Linked DNA regions of Oryctolagus cuniculus. The protein of the gene in region 1 purifies or fractionates together with the protein of each later gene. This does not show direct contact. Links are inferred from orthologs where the notes say so. Each region holds a gene or a part of one and is shown in the gene's direction. Other genes may lie near its edges.

Region 1 (4,793 bases):
CCACTGCACTCCCGGGCCACAGCAGAGAGCTGGCCTGGAAGAGGGGCAACCAGGACAGAACCCGGCACCCATATGGGATGCCAGCGCCTCAGGCAAGGATTAACCAAGTGAGCCACAGTGCCGGCCTTTTTTCTTTTTATAGGATTGACTTATTGGGGGCCGGTGCTGTGGCACAGCGGGTTAATGCCCTAACCTGCAGTGCCGGCATCCCATATGGGCTACAGTTCTAGTCCCGGCTGCTCCACTTCCAATCCAGCTCTCTGCTATGGCCTGCGAAGGCAGTGGAAGATGACCCAAGTGCTTGGGCCCCTGCACCCCCATGGGAGTCCAGGAGGAAGCTCCTGGCTCCTGGCTTCGGATCAGCGCAGCGCCGGCTGTTGCGGCCAATTGGGGAGTGAACCAGCGGATGGTTCTCTCTCTATTTCTCTCTACCTTTTCTGTAACTCTGTCAAATAAATAAATATTAAAGCAAAAATTGACTCATTTATTTGAAAGAGAGAGAGAGAGAGAGAGAGATCTCCCATCCACTGGTTCACTCCCCAATTGGCCACAACAGCCGGAGCTGCGCCGATCTGAAGCCAGGAGCCAGGAGCCCCATCCGGGTCTCCCACGCGGGTGCAGGGGTCCAAGCACCTGGCCCACCCCCCACTGCTTTCCCAGGCCACTGCAGAGAGCTGGATGGGAAGCGGTGCAGCTGGGGCTCGAACCGGTATCCTTATGGAAGTTGGCGTTGCCGGCAGCTTTACCCGCCATGCCACCGCGCCGGCCCCTTGCCACGTTTCTGCTTTCTGTGCACCTTAGGTCTTTTTTGATCAGCTCCTCCTTAGCTTCTGGTGTGTCAAACAGGGCAGGGGTGCGCTCTGCACACTGTCACAGGTGTACCCGCCCGCCCGGCTGATCAACTCTCCCGGATCAGCGGGGCGCTCCCAGGGCTGCGCTCACTGCTGGCTCGCGGGCTTCCGCCTCCAGTCGGGTCTTTCCGTGGGGCCACACTGAGCGTCCCAGCCCGAGGTCCCTGTATGTGAATTTGGAAACTCTCCAGGCACCGTGTTGAGACCGGGGGCGCCAGGGCTCAGCCGGGTCCCCCACGTGGCGGTGGCAGCGGCCCAGGTTCTTGTCACCTGCTGCCTTCCGGGGTGTGGACGCGCAGGGGGCTGGGGTCGGGAGTGCAGCGGGGACTCGAACCCAGGCAATAGCAGAGAGCTGGATCGGAAGTGGGGCAGCCGGGACTCGAACCCGCGACTATCTGGGATGCCGGCACTGCAGGCGGCGGCTTCACCTGCCACGCCACAGCGCCGGCTCCAAGGCAGCATCTTAACCACTATATCCAGCAGCAGCCACCCCCAAGACTCCCTGGCAACCTTAGTGAGCACCAGCTGTATACAGCAATCTTGTCCGTGCTGGAACCACCGTGCTGCACAAAGCCAAGCGCCCCCCCACGCCCGCACAGCTCCGCGGGCCCTCCCACGCCCGCACAGCCCCGCGGCCCGGAGACTCCGAGCAGCGGTTGGGGCGGGGCCGAGGCCGGAGCGCCCGCCGCGGCGGCCGTTGGAAGCCCCGCCCCTCCGCGCGTGCGCACCAGGCGTCCCGCCGGCCCGCTCGGCTCGGGGCGTCTGTGGGCGGGCCTGGCGGGAGACCGCGAGGAGCGCGCGCGCCTGCGCCGGCGTCGGCCTCGCGCACGCGCACCTGCGCCGGCGTCGGGCTCGCGCACGCGCACGGCGGCAGCGGCGGCGGCGGCGGTTCCTGCCGGGGGCTGCGAGTGGCGGGCGGCTCCGAGGGGCGGCAGCGGCGGCTCCGAGGGGCGCTCGGCGGCGGCGGCGGCGGCGGCTTCGCGCTCACGGGCGGCGGCCAGGCTCGCTGCGGGGCGGGCGGCGCGGCCGGGCCGGGCACGCGGCGGCGGCGGCGAGGCGGCCCGAGGCCTGCGGCCTAGGCCTCGGCGCGGCAGCGAGCTCGAGTAGGCGCGGAGCCGGCGGCGCCATGAGCGTGGAGGCGTACGGGCCCAGCTCGCAGACGCTCACCTTCCTGGACACGGAGGAGGCCGAGCTGCTCGGCGCCGACACACAGGGCTCCGAGTTCGAGTTCACCGACTTCACCCTCCCCAGCCAGACCCAGACGCCCCCCGGCGGCCCCGGCGGCCCCGGCGGCGCGGGGGGCCCGGGCGGCGCGGGCGCGGGCGCTGCGGCCGGACAGCTGGACGCGCAGGTGAGCGAGCGGCACATGGCGGCGCCGGAAGCCCGGGCCCGGACCCCCCCACACCTGGCCGGGGGTCGCGGCGATCCCGCGGGGGCTCCCGGCGGGGCGGCTGGGTGTGGGTGCTGCTGGGGCCAGGCGGCCGGGGGGCCCTCCGTTCGCTTCCGGGTGGCCCGGACCTGCGGTTGGGGGGGGGTGGGCGACTGCTCGGGCCGGCTCGGGGCCCCCCGCCCGCGCCCGGGGGGTCTCGGCGCCCGCGCAGTGGCGCGCGCCCGGCCGCGCGTGGCAAAGTTGGGATTTCGGGGCGCGCGAGTGGAGGGGCCGCGGCGGTGGTTCAGGGGGCGGGTCGCTGGTGTTTCCTGCCCGCGCTGCCGCCTGTTGGCGAAACCAACCTGTTACGTAAGCCGGCGGCCCTGCCCGCCCGGCGAAGTTGGGGCTGAGTTGGGTCCGGCCCGGAGCGCGGAGCCGGCTTCTCCGGGGAAGGGGCCGCTCGCTCGGGCGCTTCCCGTTGGGGGACGTAGCCCGCGCGTGCTTGGCCTGGGCTTGAGCCTGGGGCGCGGGGGGCGCAGGTGCTGGCTGGGGGGTCCTGCGGAGTCGCCACCACGTCCGTCCTCTGGGTCTCCGACGGCGGCCCCCCGGACCCCGACCCCGACCCCGACCCCCGGCGAGTTTTCCGGAATCCTGGGAGGCTCGCCTGGCGCGCAGGTGCTGCCGGGCACAGCCTGGGGCTCTGGCGCCCCCTCCCCCACCGTCCCGCCCCGGGGAGCCCCGGCCCCCTCGTGGGCGGGGGGCTTGTGGGCTACGTGGCTGAGTCAGCGGCGTGGGCTCGTCACCCACTTGGGCTTTCTTTTCTTCGCGGCCAGAAGCAGCAGACGTTTGACTCATGCGAACCCCGACTTCCTTGAAATAGAATGCGGCAGGGGGCGGGGCGCGCAGGTGCGCCAGGACAGGTCCCCCCCCCACCCCCAGTCTTGTTTACCTTGGTGGGAGGGAGGCCGGGAGAGGTGCGCGTCTGCGGGAAGGGACGGGTGGCGGTGGGCCCTCCCGCCGCCGTGAGATGGGGTGGGGGCGGGAGCCCTGGGCCCGCGTGCGAGCGGGGTGGGGGTGCATCTGGCGGCTGGGGACGGAGGTGACTGTCACGGAGCCGCTCTGGGTGGCTTTGTGGGCAGGGGAGGGGCAGGGTCTGGGCGCCGGCTGGCTCGGGATGAGGACCTGGCCCTCGGGCCGCGTGGGGGGAGCGCGGGTGACACCCACGCAGCGGGGGAGTGTCGATCCTCGGGGAGCGAGAAGGCGGCGGCCGAGGCCTGGGGCCCTGGGACGTGGGGGGCATTTTTCTTTTTTTTATAAGTTGGTTTTCATTTATTTGAAAGGCGGAAAGGGAGGGCTCTTTCAACGGCTGGTTCGCTCCCCAGTGCCCGCGAGAGGAAGGTCCGGGCCAGGCCGAAGCCCGGAGCTGGGACCCCAGGCTGGGTCTCGGGGGTGCGGGCCCCTGCTGTCTGCTGTGGTCGCGTGTCCACTCTCCACTCCCCAGACGGCTGCAGCAGCCAGGGCCGGGCCCCCTCTAGTCTCCGCGCAGGTGCAGCGGCCGAGCACTGGCGCTGTCACCTGCAGGGAGCGCCCCCGGGAGTGGCAGCGCCAGCGCCGGGCCCGGCCCCCCGCGGGTGTGCCCGCCCGGGAAGGTCCTACTTGTCCCTGGGAGTTGGCGGTGCCGTCCGCGTGCGCCGGGGACCTGGAGAAGGGTTCCAGCCTCCCGGCCTGTCTCTGGGTTGTTGAGGTTGAGCGTCACCTTGGGACCAGGGTGCGCTGGCTCCTGGGTGGTTGGAGGGGGTGGTTGTAGGCGCGGGGTGAGTACCGGGGGCTGCAGCCCAAGACCGAGTGGGAGACTCGTCTGTGTTCCCGTACACACAGCCTGATGGCTTCTCTGTTCTTTAAGACTCATTTATTTATTAGAAAGGCAGCTTTACACGGAGAAGCTGAGAGAGAGAAGTCTTCCAGCTGCGGTTCGCTCCCCGGATGGCCGCAGTGGCTGGAGCTGCGCTGATCTAGAGCCGGGAGCCGGGAGCTTCCGGGTCTCCCACGTGGGTGCAGGCGCCCCAGCACTTGGCCCATCCTCCGCTGCCTCCCAGGTGCAGCAGCAGGGAGCTGGATCGGAACAGGAGCAGCCGGGACTCGAACTGGCGCCCATAGGGGATGCGGGCACTGCAGGCCCAGTGCGGGCCCAGCCTGAAGGCTCTGCAACAACTGTGGGACAGACAGTCTCCTGGGGCGGAGCTTTGCACTGTGGCTCCTGTCGGGCCCAGGAGACCCAGGTTCTGGGGCGCCTGTTAGTTTCAGGTGAGGGGCACCTGACCGTGCGCCAGCCGCGGGGCGTCCTCCCGGCTCTGGGCGTGCCTGTCTGGACTTGCGTGCCAGCGGCCGCGCCGTCGGGCGTCCTGCGTAAGTGTCGAGGGCGTGGCCGCAGCGCGGCGGCCGCTGGGACGGGGAGGAGCCCGGCCGTGCCAGGTTTGCCCAGGGGGCGACCTCACCGCGAGGCCCAGTGGTCAGGGAACACGCGAGCTGGTGTTTGTGTCTGTGGAGTCCCCGGCCCTGCCGGGTGTCCGCGG
Region 2 (4,788 bases), on another chromosome or scaffold:
ATTCAAAGCCAGGAGCCAGGTGCTTCCTCCTGGTTTCCCATGCGGGTGCAGGGCCCAAGCACTTGGGCCATCATCCACTGCACTCCCGGGCCACAGCAGAGAGCTGGACTGGAAGAGAAGCAACCGGGACTAGAACCCGGCGCCCCGACTGGGACTAGAGTCTGGGATGCTGGTGCCTCAGGGTGGAGGATCAGCCAAGTGAGCCGCGGCACCGGCCTCCCAGAATCTTAAATCAGCAGTGGGCAGACAGGCGGAGACGAGGAAGCTGGCCGAAGCTCTCCCCCATCTGTGGATGGAAAGGCACCAAGAGGTGCTCCCGAGGATGATGATGAAGTTCCACATTTCGTGGAGAGTTTTGATGAGCCTTCTAAGAATGAGGCAAAATGAATGGTCAATTTTTAAGATTTATTTATTTGGTAGGCAGAGTTATAGAGAGGAGAGACCAAGACCTTGCATCCACTGGTTCACTCCCCAAGTGGTCCCAGTGGCTGGAGCTGGGCCAAGGTGAAGTCAAAAGCCAAGAGCTCCTTTTGCATCTCCCACGTGGGTGGCAGGGGCCCAAGGACTTGGCCATCCTCCGCTGGGAGCTGGATCTGAAGCAGAGCAGCTGGGACTCCAACCTGTGCCCTCATCGGATTGCAGGCACTATAGATGCAGCTTAACCTGCTGCACCGCAGCACCAGCCCCTGCAGTGAACTTTTGAAGAAAAGTTCCTGGGAGCTGCTGTTTTATATTATGACTGCTTATAAAAATTGTTCTGTTTATGATCAGATAAAATCTAGATTTCTCACATTTGTAAGCTCAGGGCAGCTCTTTCAGTTTTTGCTTATGGAGTTCATTCTTTGCTGCTAATTAAGCTGAAGAAGCCTGGGAATAAAGTTTGAAATAAAGATTAATAAAATTCCTTGCAGAGTACAAATACATAATTTACATATGAATTAATCAAGTGCTGCCTGTAATTTATAAAGCAAAAATACACTAGTGTGAGTCTGGTTTTGGTGTTGTCCCAGTAATCAAGAGCATGAGTGGATTATGAATTTTGCTGGTGAACTGACTCAATACCGGTGCATGGGGCCTGGCTGTTGGCTGCTCTACTGACTGCCTGGCCCACAGGTGAGGGCACTGCAGCAAGTGCGTTCCCCCCACAGGTAAATCGCACAGCAGAACGAAGGTGCACTGTGGTGCTGCTTGACAAACACCAGCTTCCTCAACTGTGTCTGCGAGAACGGAACGGTGGTATCATAGTATTGTGTTATGTTCTGTACTGTCATACCAAGTATTGTACTAAGTATAGCATTGTAGTACTATACTGAGTATTCCGTACAACCACTTTATGTAGTATTGTAGTCCTGAGTACTAAGTTGTAGTTTTGTAACATTGCAAGTATTCTATTTTACACTCATTGTTCCAAGTATTATAGTAAGTATTCTGCCCCGAGCAGCGTATCAAAGTGCCCTGTACTGAACATGGCAGTGTGTGCTACCACAGTATTTTCCAAGAATTGTGGTATTCTCTGCTAAGTATTGTAGTATTCTGTATTAAGTACCACATTAAGTATATTTCTTGTAGTAGCGTAGTATTCTATACTACGCATTCTAGTATCGTAGTTACCTAGTACTGTATTCTGCAGTAAGTGTCGCACTGTTTTCTGTATTAAACACCACAGCGTTTTGTACTAAGTACGGCAGTGTCGTGGTAGTCTTGCGGTAGGTGTTCTGTAGGGTCGCACCAGGCACTCCTCAGGGACTGCGCGCGCGCACAGCGCCCCACCGGGGCTCTGCCCGAGCCTCCGATTGCCCCTCCCCGGCAGCTGACCGGAACAGCCTGTGAGCCGCAGGCGCGCGCCCAGGTGACCGCGGCGCCGAGTTCTCGCGAGGTTTCGGCGGCGGGCGCGCGGCGGCGGCGGCCCCGCGGCGGGTACGACCTGCGCTCCGCGGGGCCGAGGCCGGAGGGCGGCCGTTGCTGTGCGGGGCCGGAGTGCGAAGGAGGCGTCCGGACGAGAGCCATGGAGATCCCGTTCCGACGAGAGCTCGGGACGCCGCCAGCCTCGTCCTCCGGCTGCGGGAGCGGCGCGGGCAGAGCTCGCGAGGAGAAGAGGGCCGCGCTCAGCAAGGTGGGGCGGGGCGGGGCGGGGGCGCGGCGCGGAGGGCCGGCGCCTGCGGGGCGCCTGCGGGGCGCGGGCCCTGACGGCCGGCTCGGTCCGCAGGTGGTGGTGCGGCGGCTCCCGCCCGGCCTCACCAAGCGGCAGCTGGAGGAGCAGCTGCGCCCGCTGCCCGCGCACGACTACTTCGAGCTTTTCTCGGCGGACCTCAGGTGAGGGCGGGAGGTGGCCGGGGCCTCCGCACCTGCTGCCGGCGCGCCCGTCCCTGCCGCGGGGCTGCTGGCCGTGTGCGCCTCCGGTGCTTCGTCTGTGCGGCCTGTAAAAGCGAATCGCGTTGAGACTCTGCCGAGTGAGTGGCAGACGTGCGTGAGCTGGTTCGGACCCAGCAGGAGACAGGCAGGGTGCCCTGTGCTGCAGCCCCTGTCATTACCGTGTATTGATAGGAATGCCAGTTCAAGGAAAGCATCGTTAGCAGGTGAATGACGTCCAGAACGACTGGCGGATATGCGAGGACCGGCGTTGGGCGCAGGATCTTGGCCTGGGGTCCCAGGCCGGTCTTGAGCTGACCGCTCCTGAGGGCCCTGATTCCCCGGAGCTGCAGAGCTCTGTGGGAGGGGCTGGAAGTCGCCGCCTGCGCAGAATGTTGGTGACCGTGGCATAGGGGAGGACGCTTAGTTCTCTGTGTGGACCCCATCCATGGGCCACCATAAATACTTTATTCTTAAGAATTTTATTTATTTTATGTGAAAGGCAGTTAGCCCTTCCATCCCTCTGGTTCACTCCCCAGATCGCTGCAGCGGCTGGGGCTGGGCCAGGCCGAAGCCAGGAGCTTTTTCTGGGTCTCCCACCTGGAGCAGGGTTCCAGGCACTTGGGCTGTCTTTGACTGCTTCCCGAGGCTGTTAGCAGGGAGCTGGCATTGCAGGCAGCGGCTTAATTTACTATGCCTCAACACTGGCCCCCATAAGTACTTTTAAAAAAAAGCAAATCTAAATATTATCCGGATTAACGCGGAGTCCCTCTTACAGTATACATTTTCTTGAATGAGCCATGAGTTACACAGCATCCTGGTCGTCTGTGTTCAGAACACTTGCCTTTGTTTTTTCAACCTCTGAGGACCAGGATTCTAACTCTGACATTGCAGAGAAGCTGGCCTAAGACATCTCTTTCTGGCTGATTACAAGGATCTCAGTTAGTGGTTTTTGGTTTGTTTGTTGCTAAAGAATATCCAAATTGCTGTAATTAACCGGGAGATGGTTTTTTGGCATAAGCAAATGAAGGAAAGGGGACCCTGTGTTTGTACTAAGCGGTAAGCGGTTTTCCTGTTGTATCTTGTTTCAGTCTGTGTCCTCACCTCTACTCGAGAGCATACATCAATTTTAGGAATCCTGATGACATCCTTCTTTTCCGAGATCGTTTTGATGGATTTATCTTCATTGACAGCAAAGGTTTATCACTGTTTTCAACTCTTACAGTCTCGAAGTACAACAATGGGCTTGGGTGTAATTTTTGTGAGTTTTAGTTAGTTCTCAGAGACTAATCTAAAATAAGATATTGTGAGTATATTGTGATTGGGTGCTACTCTTAAAGTTGTAAATCATAATTTAGTCTATGTAATGGCGACAACTTGTGTATTATTGTTAGAGTGAAGTTTTTCTATATTTTATCCTTCTTTCATATAGATTTTCTGAATCTGAGTGTGTGTCTTCCTAACAGCACTGTTCATCCTTCACCCCTTCTCGGTAATGTCGCGGGGAGGGGTTGTGACCCTGAGCTCCAGTCAGGCCTGCGTGGATGACAAGATTTGTCCTGCTCTGTGTGGGTTCAATCCCCTGTACCTTCTGGTTATGCCTTTGATGTCCACTCCTCCTTCCCTGTTGGACTGCCAGGTGTGGCTTCTTTGCTGTCAAGTCTGAATCCGTCTTAGAGCAATTTGTCTCACTCATCAGGCACCCTCTCCCTCTCCTCCCACCCTCCGTGTGAATCAGTGTGTCCTTCTCCACTGAGGGTGATGGATAAACAAGATTGTCAGAGTGGCTGAGCTGGGGGCCAGGTCAAAATCTGTTTGACATTTGTGTTGGCTTGTTTATTTGTTCAACTGTCTTTTATTTACTTTTCAAAAAATATTGAAGTGGGGTAGGAATTGAGGTGCAGTGGGGTAAGCTGCTGCTTGTGATGCTGGCATGCTGTATGGAACACCGGTTCAAATTCAGGCTGCTCTGTTTCTGCTCCAACTCCCTGCTATCCACCGGGGAAGGCAGCAGGTGATGACCGGGTACTTGGGCCCCTGTCACCCACATGGAGACCAGGAAAGATTCCAGACTCTTAGCTTGGCCTAGCTCAGCCCTGGCTGTTGTGGGCATTTGGGGAGTGAACTAGCAGATGCAGCATATCTCCCTCTGCCCCTCTCTCCCTTTCTCCCCTCCCTTTTTCTGTCACTCTGCCTTTCAAATAAATATCTTATTTAAGCATTGGCAGATAGATATAACAAAGTCTGTTATCTTACCGTTTTTGTAAGAGTGCAGTTCCCTAGTGTTGAGTGTGATCTCCTCGAGCAGCCGTCTCCAGGACTCCTTCCATCTCGTAGCACTGAAACTACACATGCGCCCCACCCCTGGCAGCCGCCATTCTGCTGTATGCTCTGTGAATCTGACTCCTCTGGGTACCTCGAGTTGGTGGAATCATGTGT
Region 3 (4,049 bases), on another chromosome or scaffold:
TCCACTAACCTAGAGAAGACCAAAAGTACCTGTAGCCTGTCTTCAGTTTGTCCCATTCCTTACTACTGTTTTAGTTGTTAGGTAACAAGTTTGGTTACAGTGATTTGCCAGAGGTTTCTTTTAACTAAGTGGTGTGATTTGTTTTTCAGTCTGCTCCGTCTGGACACAAACATCTGACGGTAGAAGAGCTATTCGGAACCTCTTTGCCAAAGGAACAGCCCGCAGTCATGGGTCTGGATTCAGAAGAAGTGGAGAAGCTGCCGGGAGAGGCCTCCCAGAAAGAACCCAGCTCCTTCCTTCCATTCCCCTTTGAGCAAGCAGGAGGAGGCCTTCCATCAGAAAACCCGGGTGTCCATTCTGCTGCCCACCACTCAGTCCAGCCAGAAGTCCCCACCCCGGTGCTAATCACCCCAGCCTCCATCACACACTCCAGTGAAAAGCATGCCCCAAGCTACACAATCCCATTGAGCCCCGTTCTCAGCCCCACTCTGCCAGGTGACGCCCCTGCTGCGCAGGTTCCCCCCAGCCTGTCTCGAAACAGCACTATGATGCAAGCAGTGAAGACCACGCCTAGACAGAGGTCTCCACTGCTGAACCAGCCTGTCTCTGAGCTAAGCCACAGCAGTCTGATTGCCAGCCAGAGTCCCTTCAGAGCCCCACTGAGCGTGACAAACCCAGCTGGAGCATCCCTCCCAAGCGTTGATCTTCTGCATAAACTCAGGTTGACTCCACAGCATGACCAAATACAGACGCAGACACTTGGGAAAGGAGCAGTGGCACCCACCCTGTGCCCAGCAGCTGGCCAGCTGGCCACACCTGAGAGCTTCATCGAGCCTCCCTCTAAGACCGCGGCAGCGAGAGCAGCAGCCTCAGCCTCCTTGAGCAACATGGTGCTTGCTCCCCTTCAGGTAGTGGCAACAGAGGCGGGGTGGGCAGGGTGGGTAACTGATTGGATGAGACTAACTGCAAAGACCTTGATTTTTACTGATGTGAGACAGGATAGTTTGAAAGAATTATCTCTAAAGGAAACCAAGGACCAGGAGAAAGGGGAAGGAGAATCCCCCCCACCCCGTGACCAACCAAGTAATTACTAGACAATGGTGTAACTCAGTTTCACTTTCCAGAATTATCCCACTGATAACAGATAAAAAAACCACGTTTATATTGCCTAAGTATGCACTATAGGATTTTTTTTTCATCTGTCTTGCTTTTTGTTTTTTAGATTATTTATTTGAAAGTAGAGCAACAGAGAGAGATCGTCCATCCACTAGTTCACTACCTAGATGCCAGATAGCCTCAACAGCCAGGTCTGGATCAGGTCAAAGCTGGGAGACTGGAACTCCATTCTGGTCTCCCACACAGAGGGCAGGGGCCCAAGCACTTGGGCTATCTTCTGCTGCCTTCCCAGGTGTATTAGCAGGGTGCTGGATCAGAAGTGGAGCAGCCAGAATTCAAAGCAGCCCTTCAATATGGAATGCTGGAGTCCCAAGTGGCAACTTAACCCACTGCACCACAGTGCCAGCCCCTGTCTGTCTTGGTTCAGGGTCAGGAAGATCCCCAGATTATCCTGAACTTAGTTCCCATTCCCAGCTCCCTCAGTACTTTGTTTTCAGAGCCTGGGAAGTCTCTGAGCAGAGTGAGGTGCCATGAAGGAAGAGGGCGGCACTCGGGTTAGAGCTGGCAGGGCCTGGATCAAGAAGTGTGTGCATGTGGATATGTTGAGATGTCTCATCAGTGGGACTCAGTGGTAGATCAGGTGTAGAGGAAAAACAGATTTATCCCTCACAGTAATTCATAAGTGTGGGATATGCAAACGAGAAAACCAGATTGGGTGATTTGTGCAAGGTCACGGAACTGGAATAGTATAAAACCTGCTACTCTGCATCAGTACTGAGTCCCTATAGGACCTTTAATAATGCCCTTTAATAATAGTGATAGGAACCGGTGCTGTGACATGGTGGGTAAAGCTGCCACCTGTGGTGCCGGCATCTCATTTGAGCATCAGTTTGAGTCTCAGCTGTTGTACCTCTGATCCTTCCCCTACGAATGTGCCTGGGAAAGCAGCAAGGGATGGCCCAAGTGCTTGGGGCCCTTCACCTACGTGGGAGACCCAGAAGACACTCCTGGCTCCTGGCTTCAGACTGGCTCAGGCTCTGGCCATTGTGGCCATTTGGAGAGTGAACCAGCAGAAGGAAGATCTCTTTCATGCTCTCGCTTGCTCACTCTCTAACTCTGCCTTTCAAATAAATAATCAAATCTGTAACAATGATGATAATCCCCAATCTTAACATTGTACCAAATAATGTATGGAAAAGCCCATCATGGTTGCTATGTATTATTTCTTAACTTTTTTGTTCCATTCCTTTGAAATCTTGTAGTGATAGAGGGGAAACTTAGGGTCTTGGTAGCATTTATATTGTCTTCCTCCAGCCCTTTCTCTGTGTTACAGAGAGGAGAGAATATTCTGTTAAACAGACATGCCTGCTACCACTGCTGCAGGATTCAAGAAACACAACAGCAGTCCTTTTTATCCCTAAGACTTACCTAAGGGCCAGTGCTGAGGCATAGCAGGTAAAGCCACTGCATATGGTGCTAGCATCCCATATGGGTGCTGGTTCAAGTCCCAGCAGCTCTACTTCCAATCCAGGACTCTGCTATGGCCTGGGAAAGCAGTAGACGTTGACCCAGATCCTTGGGCCCCTGCACCCATTTAGGAGACCTAGAAGTTCCTGTCTCCTGGCTTTGGATCAGCCCAGCTCCAGCCGTTGCAACCGTCTGGGTAATGAATCAGCAAATGGAAGATCTTTCTCTCTCTCTCTCTCTCTCTTTCTTTCTTTCTCTCTCTCTCTCTCTCTCTCTCTCTCTCTCTCTCTCTCTCTCTCTCTCCTCTCCCCCTCTCCCCCTCTCTCCCTCTCACTCTACCTCTGCAATTCCACATTTCAAATAAATTATAAATCTGTTTAAAGAAAATGTGCCACTGTGGCTAGAGGAACCATTCTGGAAAAAAAAAAAAAAAAGACCTTTCTATTTATGAATTGATTGATTGATTTGAAAGGATGATAGGGAGAAACAGATCTTCCATCTGCTGTTTCAATCCCTAAGTGTCCTCAACAAGCTGGGCCAGGGCTGAGCTAAAACCAGGAGCCAGAAACTCCACCTTGGTCTGCCATGTGGGTACAGGGGTCCAGGCATGCAGGGTGTTGTAGTGGAAGTGAAGACCAGGGTGAGAACTGGCACTCTGATACAGGATGCCAATGTGGTAAGTGGCAGTCTAACCCACTGCACCACAATGCCAGCCCCACACCAGCATTCTTGGACACTGCCCTCTGCAGCCTGGAGATAGCACCCTGCCCTAGCCTCCTTCTTGGCAGGGCATGCTTCCCTGCGTATAAATTTCCATTTACACAGCAGTAAATACAAAGACCAGGGCTTCATAGAGTTCTCATGTCTTTGCTCTACAAGTTGTCTCTCTCCAATGAATGAGGAAAAACTGCATGTGAAAGGCTGACTCTGGGTAGCAGCTGTTCAGTACTACCTGTCCAGGTTTAAACAGCCTGTTACCAGGTGTCATGCTGCCAACATCTGTCATTTTTACAGACTCAACAGCAAAAATACGCCTGCACAGCTCCCAACTCTGAGATACAGGTTTCTGCTTTGTTCCTTAGGGACTACTTAAGCACACCTTTCATCGGGGGAACTGCAGGGGGAGGTTGAGTCATTGTCACAGTCCTGTCAGCCTCTTCCCTTGGGAATCTGAGACCTGGTTAATGGCTTAGCCATTTCTTGTTGCTAAAATAGATTTTTTTTTACCAGTAATCAGGAAATTTCACTGAAACCTGCCATATCTATTTATCTCTTCTTTTGAAACATTTCAGTCTATGCAGCAAAACCAGGATCCTGAAGTATTTGCCCAGCCTAAGATGTTATCCAGTGCCATCCCGGTAAGGCCCCCTTGTTCTGAAGAAAGCATTTCATGTGTTTCGGTCCTGCTGCTGCTTCCCACACAGAGGTCATTGCTGTGGTCTCCGTAGGTGTTAAGTCACCTGTGT
Region 4 (4,049 bases), on another chromosome or scaffold:
GCCATAGCAGGGAGCTGGATGGGAAGTGGAGCAGCTGGGACTCAAACCAGGGCCCATATGGGATGCCGGAGATTCAGGCAGCGGCTTTACCCAGTACGCCACAGCACCAGCCCCGGAACGGGAAAGTTTAACTATCTGTAACTCATACTCAGTCTTGGAAGAGTTTTATTATTATTATTATTAACTTATGGAAATAACAGAGATACGTAAAAGTGGAGGGAATAAAAAATAGTATGATGAGGTCCCAAGTCCTCATCACCCAGCTTCAACAATTATCAACTCTGCCTCATTCCTTACCCTACTGGATTATTTTCAAGCAAATCCTAGACATATAGTTTCTTTAAATATTTAACTATTACAGATAGAGTCTTTTTAAGGATAATATAACCTTAGGAGCACTTTCACATTAAAATAACAAAAAAAATCTGGGGGCAGTCATTGTGGTGCAACAGGTTAAGCCTCTGCTACAATCTGCATCCCATCTCAGAGCACCTGTTTGTGTCCCAGCTACTCTGCACTTCCTATCCAGCTTCCTGCTAACATGCCTGGGAGGCAGCAGATGAAGTCTCAACTGCTTGGGCCTTTGCTACCCATGTTCGAGAACCAAATGGAGCTCCTTGCTTTGGCCTGGCCCAGCCCCAGCTGTTGCAGGCATTTGGGGAGTGACCCAGCAGACAGAAGATCTCGATCTCTGTGTGTGTGTGTGTGTGTGTGTGTGTGTGTGTCACTCCCTCTCTGTCACTCTTTCAAGTTAAAAAAAAAAAAATTAAGCCTAACAAATAGGGCCAGTGTTGTGGCGTAGCAGGTAAAGCCACCACCTGCAGTGCCAGCATCCCATATGGGTGCTGGTTCAAATCCCAGCTGCTCCACTTCCAATCCAGCTCCCTGCTAATGTACCTGGGAAAGCAATGGAACATAGCCCAAGTGCTTGGGCCCCTGCACCAATGTAAGAGACTCAGAAGAAACTCCTGGCTCCTGGCTTCAGTCCGGCCCAGCCCTGGTTGTTGCAGCTATTTGGGGAGTGAACTAGCAGATGGACGGTCTCTGTCCCTCCCTCTCTGTCTCTACAACTCTGCTTTTCAGATAAATAAAATAAATCTTTTTTTAAAAAGCCTAACAATTTTTAACACCCTGTCCACTTAGTGTTCAGATTTTTCCAATTATTTTATCAATATCTTTTTTAATAGGATCTACACTGGGCCCCCAAACTGTATTTGCCTGAAATGTCTCCTTTAAAAAAAGATTTATTTATTTAATTTGAAAGGCAGAGTTACAGAAAGAGAAGGAGAGAGAGGGAGAGAGAGGGAGAGAGAGATTGATTGATCTTCCATCCATTGGTTTACTCCCCAAACGACCACAACTGCTGGAGCTTGGCTGATCCGAATCTGGGAGCCAGGAGCTTCTTCCAGTTCTCCCACATAGGCACCAGAGGCCCAAGTACTTGGGCCATCTTCTGCTGCTTTCCCAGACATATATGCAGGGAGCTGGACTGGAAGTAGAGCAGCTGGGACTCTAGCTCTGATATGGGATGCTGGCACTCTAGGCAGTGGCTGTAGCTGCTGTGCCACAATGGCAGCCCTGCCCTCTCTTTCAAGATTTTATTTGAAAGGCAGTGACAGAGAAAAAGAAAGATCTTCCACCCACTGATTGACTCGCTCAGACGCCCACAAGCCGGGAGCCAGGAACGCCATGCAGGTCTCCCAGATGTGTGGCAAGAATCCGAGTACCTAACTTTCCTAAATCAGGGAGGAAGGGAGAGGAAGGCACATGGAATTTTTGGTTGAATTCTTAAAAAGGACTGTAAGTTTTCCAGTATTATACTGTGGAACCAAACATATTACTTGAACTGAGAGAATACATGAGGACTTTCTTGAGGCTTATTTGGGAATCTCAGATCTAAAGTGCCACCTGCTGAGGTGTTATACCTGAATCAGAAACAGATGTCTGGGCAAGCTACATAGCATCTGAGCTCCTAATTCCAGGGATGCATCCACTTAAGAGGTTTCACCTTTACTACTGTTATTCCTAAACATTTTCTCTTTTTTTTTCCTAAATATTTTCTGGTGTGGTGGTGCATTTTATAGTCAGTTTACTTATGGGAAGAAGAGATAGGCAATAGCTAAGGTTTCTAAGTTTTTAAAAAAATAAGCTAATTAGTTCATGTTGAGATGGTTAAGAAAATCAGGTAGTACAGGTCTCAAAAATTTACCCTAGGCATATGAAATACCACTTATGAAATGGTTGCTTTACTCTGGAGACAAGAGAAAGGAAATGGACAGCTGTTATGCACCATGCCCTCATTTTGGGTTTTCAGTGCCCTGTTTTGGGTATATATTAATACATGCCTTATGGCTCTGCAAATCCCACGTAAAAGTTTAGTAGCAATGTTGTAATATTAACATATTTCATTTTACTTCAGGATCGCCCAGCAATGCAGCTTTACCAACCAGGAGCTCGAAGCCGAAATCGACTCTGTCCCCCTGACGACAGCACCAAGTCTGGAGATTCAGCAATAGACAAAAAGCAGGAAAGTGGTATTAGCCATAGAAAAGAAGGGGGAGAGGAGTGATAAGTCCAAATGGTCCTAGATATCCTGACTGTCCAGGCCGCCAAAGAGCACGTATTGAGCAATCCAGAAGCGCCCTCAGGGCAAAGGAATAGAGAGAAAGAAAGGATGTCGCTGTGCTGGTGAGGTGCACTGCAGAGGAGTATGTTTAGCGGTAAAGCAGGAATCTGATTGCAGGCTCAGAATTGGAAAGTACAATTTCATTGTTTTTGTGTTTTCTACAAATTAACTTTAAAGTGCCAGAAAAAGACGATGGTGAGGACATGTGTTGCAATTTGCAGGCGGGAAATGTCAAGTGAGGACTTAACTATGTGTGACACAAGCAAAAAAAAAAAAAAAAAAAAAAAAAAAAAAAGGAGAGCTGGCTCTAAAAAGATGTTGTTAATCCTGGCTTGAATTTTCTTAGTTTGAGTGGAGCAGAGTCACTTTGAACTCTTGTTCAGATCGTTATCTTGCATTGTTGTTGATAACTGTTGACTTTGTATAGTGTAGAAGCAACAAGCATGTAATTGTAATACAAGTACAGTGAAGGATTTAACAAATTTTCACTGCAAAAATCGAACTAGTCATCTTATAGCTATACCCTATGTCCTAAAAGTTAAGGATTAGTTTTGTTTGCTTATGTGAGCTTGGCATGAGGAATATTTTTAAACATCTCATTCTGCCTTTAGCAGTTTTTCTACTAGTAGGTAAAATGTAGTCCTTGTTTGGTTCTTGACAATCCAGTCTTTGTTTTACCTTAGGTCTCATAATCTGAGAGCATACCCTCTCCAGGAAGGAAACTGCACACAAATATCTGTTCCTGTTAAGTAACAGCTTCAAGTCTTAACTTGTTTTGTGCTGATGTCAATAAATATCAACAGCACTCAAATGTGACACTGTGTGTTTATTAACTTAACTAAATAGCTATTAGTTTTAAGAAAATAAGCTTTTGACTTGAGAATTTTAAAAGGGGATGAATGCTCATAGTTTCTGCCTTCACTAGCATTCTGTCTTTGTTTTGTTCACTAGGGAGTGGATTAAATCCTGGTTCACTGGTGTTGTTCCATAAGAAGCAAGATGTCTGACAACATCCTTAAGCTGCTGCTTGATTTCCACCCTGCCAGGCCCTCCTAACAGGGCTCATTTTGCCTTTATTTGGTAACACTGCTTTATGTTCCCTCAGCTTTTTTTTTAATACTGCTTTCTAGAAGACATGATTAGGTTTTCTTTAGATTTATTTATTTATTTGAAAGAATTACAGAGGCAGAGCGAGAACAAAAGAGAGAGAGTCTTCCATCCACTGGTTCACTCCCCAGATGACCACAACAGCCAGAGCTGCACCAATCCAAAGCCAGGAGCCAGGAGCTTCTTCTGGGTCTCCCACGTGGGTGCAGGGGCCCGAGGACATGGCCCATCTCCCACTGCTTTCCCAGGCCATAGCACAGAGCTGCATCGGAAGTGGAGCAGCTGGAACTTGAACTGGTGCCTACATGGGATGCCG
Region 5 (4,695 bases), on another chromosome or scaffold:
ATTGCTACAACTTTCCCTCTAAGTATTGTGTTAGCTGCATCCCCCAAAATTTAAAAATGTTTTTGTTTTCATTTTATCGAGGAAGAGAGAGAGAGAAAGAGAGAGAGAGAGAGAGAGAGAGGGAGAGGGAGAGAGAGATTCTTCTTTTGCTGGTTTACTCCACAAATGCCCACAACAGCCAGGCTGAAGCCGGGAACCAGGAAGTCCACCTGGGTTTCCCAGCTGGGTGGTAAAGACGCAGGTGCTGGAGCTATGACCCGCGGTGCGTTAGCTGGGAGGTAGAGCAGGAGCAGAGCTGACTCGAACCCAGGCCCCCTGATGTGGGCTGTGGGAGCCCAAGTGTGGCTGGACTGTTGCTCTCCGATGCTGCCTGGCCACCTCATTTTTGGAGAGAGGTCACAAAGCCAGGTTACTATGTGTTGAAATTGTTCAGCCGTTAAAAACTAACAAAACCAAAGACAGAGAGGAAGAAGAGGAAAACAGCGCGAACAGTCACTCCACAGCGCTCATTTGAGGACCACTGTGTTAACCAAGGCACAGGTTCGTCGTGGGGCTGCTGGGTGTGGGAGGGGAGCCTTAGACGTGTTTTTCTTTTTGTACTTAGGGACTGGCAGTCACATCTTTTTTCCCAAAGGCCTCAAGTCTTCTGGGCTGTTGCCAAGTAATTAAGGAATTATTTTTCTTTGTTTCAGGATGAAGATGGAAATAAGAAACTGAGCACTGGAGATGTTACTCCAAATTCTGCCTGCTCCTTCCCGCAAGATAAGTTATATAGGAATGGGCAGAGCGCATAAAGTCCCCGTGAAAAGTTGGCTCTCATCTAAAATTACACTGCTGTTTCTGTTAGAGTGGGCACTTGCTGTCAGTGTACGGAAACAGAAGAAAGTCGGCCTGGAAGTGATAGGCGGAGCCCTGGGGTCCTAACGCGCACAGCCACATCATCTTTTCGTTTGTTTTTTTAAGCTTTATTTATTTGAAGGAGAGAGTCTGCCATCGCAGGTGCCTGACCGCTCCCCTCGGCGCCGGCCCCTATCTTGCCTTTCAGTGCACCTAGCAAGTTAATGATTTTATTCGCGCCTTTTATCCGCACTGGAACGTAAGCTCCATGAGGGCACGGGCGTTTGTCCGTTCCGTTCTTAGCTCTCGGGGCAGCGCCTCGCACATGGCGGAGGAAGGAGGCCCTGAGGGCGGGAGCGAAGGGAACGACACCTGCGAGACGAGAGGACGGACTGAGAGAAGGAAGAAGGAAGTGCGGGAGGCCAGAAGGCACGCGCTCCGCCTTCCCGCTCGGGGCCCGGCAGAACTACAACTCCCAGCAGGCCGCTGGCCCAGGGCGGGCGGCGGCCACCTCGCCGCGACCAGGCCCCGCCTGCCGGCTCCCGGTGTGCCTTGCGGGCGCCGGCCCCGCCGCAGCGCCCGCCGGGACTTGTGGTTTGGGCCGCGGGTGGGGGTGGGGCCGGGCCTGGAGGCGGGCGGGGGCCGGGGGCGGGCGCCGGCCCCTCCCCCGTCACTTCCTGCCGGGCTGCGGGCGCCGGAGCGGCTCCTCAGCGTTTGCGCCGGCCGCCGTCGCTTCTTCTCTCGGCTTCCCCGCTTCTTGGACCCCCCGGCCCGGCGGCGGCGCCCGCCTCCTCCGCAGCCACTCCGCCTCTTCCCACCCGCCGTCCCTTCCTCCTCTCCCTCTTCCTTCCTCCTTCCCCTCGTCGCCGCCACCACTGCCGCCGCCGCCGCCCAGGACCGCCGGCCGAGGGGCGAGCTGAGGGCAGCAGCCAGGTGAGGCGGCCGGCCGAGCGCGGCGGGGCCCGCGCGGGCGCGGCGGCCACGGGGCGGGGGGCGGCGGGCGGCGGGCGGCGGGTGGGGCCTAGGCCTCGGCGGGCCGCGCGCCGGCCTCCTCCCCCCGGCCCGGGCCTGCGTCCCGCCCGCGGGGCCTGCCCGGGGTGGGGGAGAGGCGGGTCCTCCGGCGCCCCCAGCCCCGCCGCCGCTTTCTCGCCGGGGCCGGGAACAGGTGCCTGGCGCCCTGCGCTGGGCGGGCGCGCGGGGACAGCGAAGTTCCTGCCGGGCTGGTGGTGTCCCCTCTCCAGCCCTCGGGGTCCGGAGCGTCCGCGTCGTGCGGCGGGCACGGCCCAGGTGTCCGGCCCCGGCGCGGCCCCTTCAACTCTTTGTGTGGGCTGGGGAGAGGGGCGCCGAGACCGTCCTGCCGCTTTCTGGCTGCGGAGGTTCGGGGAAATGGGGCGTGTGAAGCGCTTATCGGAGCGCCAGACCCACAGCGTGTCCCCAATAAACCGCCTGCATGATTGATTGGCGTGATAGGAAGGTGTAATTTAGTGGGGCGAGTGGACAGAAGTTGACCTACCTAGCTGCCTCGCTGCCCGTGCGCGAGTGGGGGAGGCAGCGGTGTTCGGCGTGGCCCCCGCCGGCGCCGGGGGCATTGTTTTGGGCTCAGGGCTGGAAGGGGGCGAGCCCGGGCCGGACCCCCTGCGCGCCAGCCGCGGGTCCGCCTTCCCCGTGGTCGTCCCGCCTCTAGGAAAGTTGCTGGCAGCCGCTGCCCCTGCGCCGGGCGACGTGCTTGTCCTCGGGCCGGGGCCGGGGCCGGGGGCGGTGGACGGACGGCGCTGGGCGAGCGTGCCTGTCCTCGGGCCGGGGCCGGGGGCGGTGGACGGACGGCGCTGGGCGAGCGTGCCTGTCCTCGGGCCGGGGTCGGGGCCGGGGGCGGTGGACGGACGGCGCTGGGCGAGCGTGCCTGTCCTCGGGCCGGGGCCGGGGGCGGTGGACGGACGGCGCTGGGCGAGCGTGCCTGTCCTCGGGGCCGGGGCCGCGGGCGGTGGACAGACGGCGCTGGGCGAGCGTGCCTGTCCTCGGGGCCGAGGGCGGTGGACGGACGGCGCTGGGCGAGCGTGCCTGTCCTCGGGGTCGGGGCCGTGCCCCTGCCTTGCCGCGTCGGCGTGGGTGCAGGCTCTCGGCTGTTCGCGCGCAGATGCGCGTCCCAGCCGCCTGCCCCTGTTCTCTGGCCGTGCGGAGGGCTTTGGGGTCGCGCTGCCGTGCTGCGCGTGTTTTTGTTTAGAAGCGGGCGGACGGAGTCGAAGTACGGTTTTGCAGGAAGGGACCTCTGCTTACGTTGCTACTTGTTGAAGCAGAAACTAAAAATACAGCCGGGGTGTGGAGGCAGCGGTTTGGCCGTCTGGGGACGGGCGCACCGAGTTCTGCTAATGCTGGGCTGCGTGGTGCGGCTGTGCCGGTCCTTGGGGAGCTGCGGCCGCCGAGGTGCTCAGCTTCGAGTTAGGACAGAGAAAACGGAGTGTGCGCGCCGCAGACGTCCGCCTAGACCTCGGCTTGTCTTAGTCCGTTTCCTTAGAGAAATGAAAATGTTTTGATTTACATCTCTCAATGCAAAGTGGCTTCCTTGTTAGGTTTTTCTAGAATTTTCTGACACAGTGTCACATTGCTTCTGATTTAAAATTTGACGTTTTAAAAACAGCTAAACAGACAACTCTGCAAACAGTAAAAAGCATGTTTTCTGCTACCTTGTGGTAAGTTGTGCTAGGGAAGTTTTAATATTGCAGTGGGTAACATAAAGCTGTTTTTAAACTTTTCACTGTGGAAAATACATGAAAATTGACTAGACGACTTAGGTATTGTGTTTGTCGCTCAACTTCGGCAGTTTTTTTTAAAAAAATAGCTTCCATCCGCTGGTTCACTCCGCAGGTGCCGCACGCACAGCTGGGCCTGGGCCAGGCTGCCACGTGGGTGTCGGGGACTGCGTGCTCCATCATGTGCTGCCTCCTTGGCCCTCGGCCGAGGGGCAGGCAACCCCGGCTCCAGTGTGAGAGCCCCAGCTCTGACAATGATTAACTTACAGTTAAGAGCAGTCTTGTACCTCCTCCCCCAAACTGTATTGTTTTGAAGCAAATCTTAAACATCGTATCACAGTGTTAGAGATTTTGACTTTTACCAGAATGCTCCTAAAATGTGCTTTTAAAAGAATCAGTTGTCATTTTGTTTGCTTGGCTTCTCATCTCTGAACAGATTACTTGGTTACTGTGCAGTGGGGAAAAGACTAGCAGCTGAGCTAGTTTTGATCAGTGCTGTCCCGCTCTCAAAGTCAAATCCCAAATGTGGCCTTGCTTCTCTGTGTGCAAAAGTAACTCTTGAGCCATGAAAGACTAATTGAAGAGCCATCAGAAAGACAGATTTCCTATCCCTTTGTTGGTGGAGACCTACCTGCTAGGCCCCTTTAAATAGGCAGGAGCTTTGTGTCAAAGTTAAACCACAGTAATGCACCATGAAGCTTCCCAAAGTTTCTTTAGCTGGTTGTGTAAATAAATGCCGTCTCAGTAAGTATTAAGCGAAGGATGTTTGATTTCAGAATCTTTGTAGAATTGTTTTCCAGAGTCCCCATCTGCTCTATTTACAAACAGCACATTGTTAGTAATTATGAGTGGAATCTTAAGTTTTGTGACTAGTGTGAAATCAAAATAAGTGTTCATATTTTTCTTGTTTAAAAGGAGATCTCTCCTAGAAGTATTATAAATATTTGCTATTGTTACGTAATTTTCAAATTTCTGTCCTGAACAGTTTCTAGTTTGACTTGTAACATTGTTATTTCATTCTTGTGGGTTTTCATTGAAGCTTGATCAGGGGTACAGTGGAAACGTTATATATTATATTTTAGTTACTACAGCCTGGGAGATTTGGAAATTA

What was found.
Region 2: the proteins of UPF1 (region 1) and UPF3A purify together in Homo sapiens (affinity purification with western blotting; 5 studies listed by BioGRID and IntAct, with this or other methods). This does not show direct contact. The link is inferred for Oryctolagus cuniculus from reciprocal best matches to the Homo sapiens genes UPF1 and UPF3A.
Region 3: the proteins of UPF1 (region 1) and DCP1A purify together in Homo sapiens (co-immunoprecipitation; 4 studies listed by BioGRID and IntAct, with this or other methods). This does not show direct contact. The link is inferred for Oryctolagus cuniculus from reciprocal best matches to the Homo sapiens genes UPF1 and DCP1A.
Region 4: the proteins of UPF1 (region 1) and UPF3B purify together in Homo sapiens (co-immunoprecipitation; 16 studies listed by BioGRID and IntAct, with this or other methods). This does not show direct contact. The link is inferred for Oryctolagus cuniculus from reciprocal best matches to the Homo sapiens genes UPF1 and UPF3B.
Region 5: the proteins of UPF1 (region 1) and STAU1 purify together in Homo sapiens (affinity purification with mass spectrometry; 7 studies listed by BioGRID and IntAct, with this or other methods). This does not show direct contact. The link is inferred for Oryctolagus cuniculus from reciprocal best matches to the Homo sapiens genes UPF1 and STAU1.

Annotation. Positions count from the first base shown.
Region 1 is NC_091447.1:65,846,513-65,851,305, forward strand, and holds the start of UPF1 (regulator of nonsense transcripts 1), read left to right. Parts: upstream 1-1,725; 5' UTR 1,726-1,977; coding exon 1,978-2,202; intron 2,203-4,793. UniProt on the Homo sapiens protein: RNA-dependent helicase required for nonsense-mediated decay (NMD) of aberrant mRNAs containing premature stop codons and modulates the expression level of normal mRNAs.
Region 2 is NC_091440.1:58,008-62,795, reverse strand, and holds the start of UPF3A (regulator of nonsense transcripts 3A), read left to right. Parts: upstream 1-1,700; 5' UTR 1,701-2,005; coding exon 2,006-2,113; intron 2,114-2,206; coding exon 2,207-2,313; intron 2,314-3,440; coding exon 3,441-3,547; intron 3,548-4,788. UniProt on the Homo sapiens protein: Involved in nonsense-mediated decay (NMD) of mRNAs containing premature stop codons by associating with the nuclear exon junction complex (EJC) and serving as link between the EJC core and NMD machinery.
Region 3 is NC_091441.1:96,540,804-96,544,852, forward strand, and holds part of DCP1A (mRNA-decapping enzyme 1A), read left to right. Parts: intron 1-149; coding exon 150-908; intron 909-3,875; coding exon 3,876-3,941; intron 3,942-4,049. UniProt on the Homo sapiens protein: Necessary for the degradation of mRNAs, both in normal mRNA turnover and in nonsense-mediated mRNA decay. Removes the 7-methyl guanine cap structure from mRNA molecules, yielding a 5'-phosphorylated mRNA fragment and 7m-GDP.
Region 4 is NC_091453.1:73,257,366-73,261,414, forward strand, and holds the end of UPF3B (regulator of nonsense transcripts 3B), read left to right. Parts: intron 1-2,419; coding exon 2,420-2,569; 3' UTR 2,570-3,437; downstream 3,438-4,049. UniProt on the Homo sapiens protein: Involved in nonsense-mediated decay (NMD) of mRNAs containing premature stop codons by associating with the nuclear exon junction complex (EJC) and serving as link between the EJC core and NMD machinery.
Region 5 is NC_091442.1:11,270,565-11,275,259, forward strand, and holds the start of STAU1 (double-stranded RNA-binding protein Staufen homolog 1), read left to right. Parts: upstream 1-1,509; 5' UTR 1,510-1,770; intron 1,771-4,695. UniProt on the Homo sapiens protein: Binds double-stranded RNA (regardless of the sequence) and tubulin.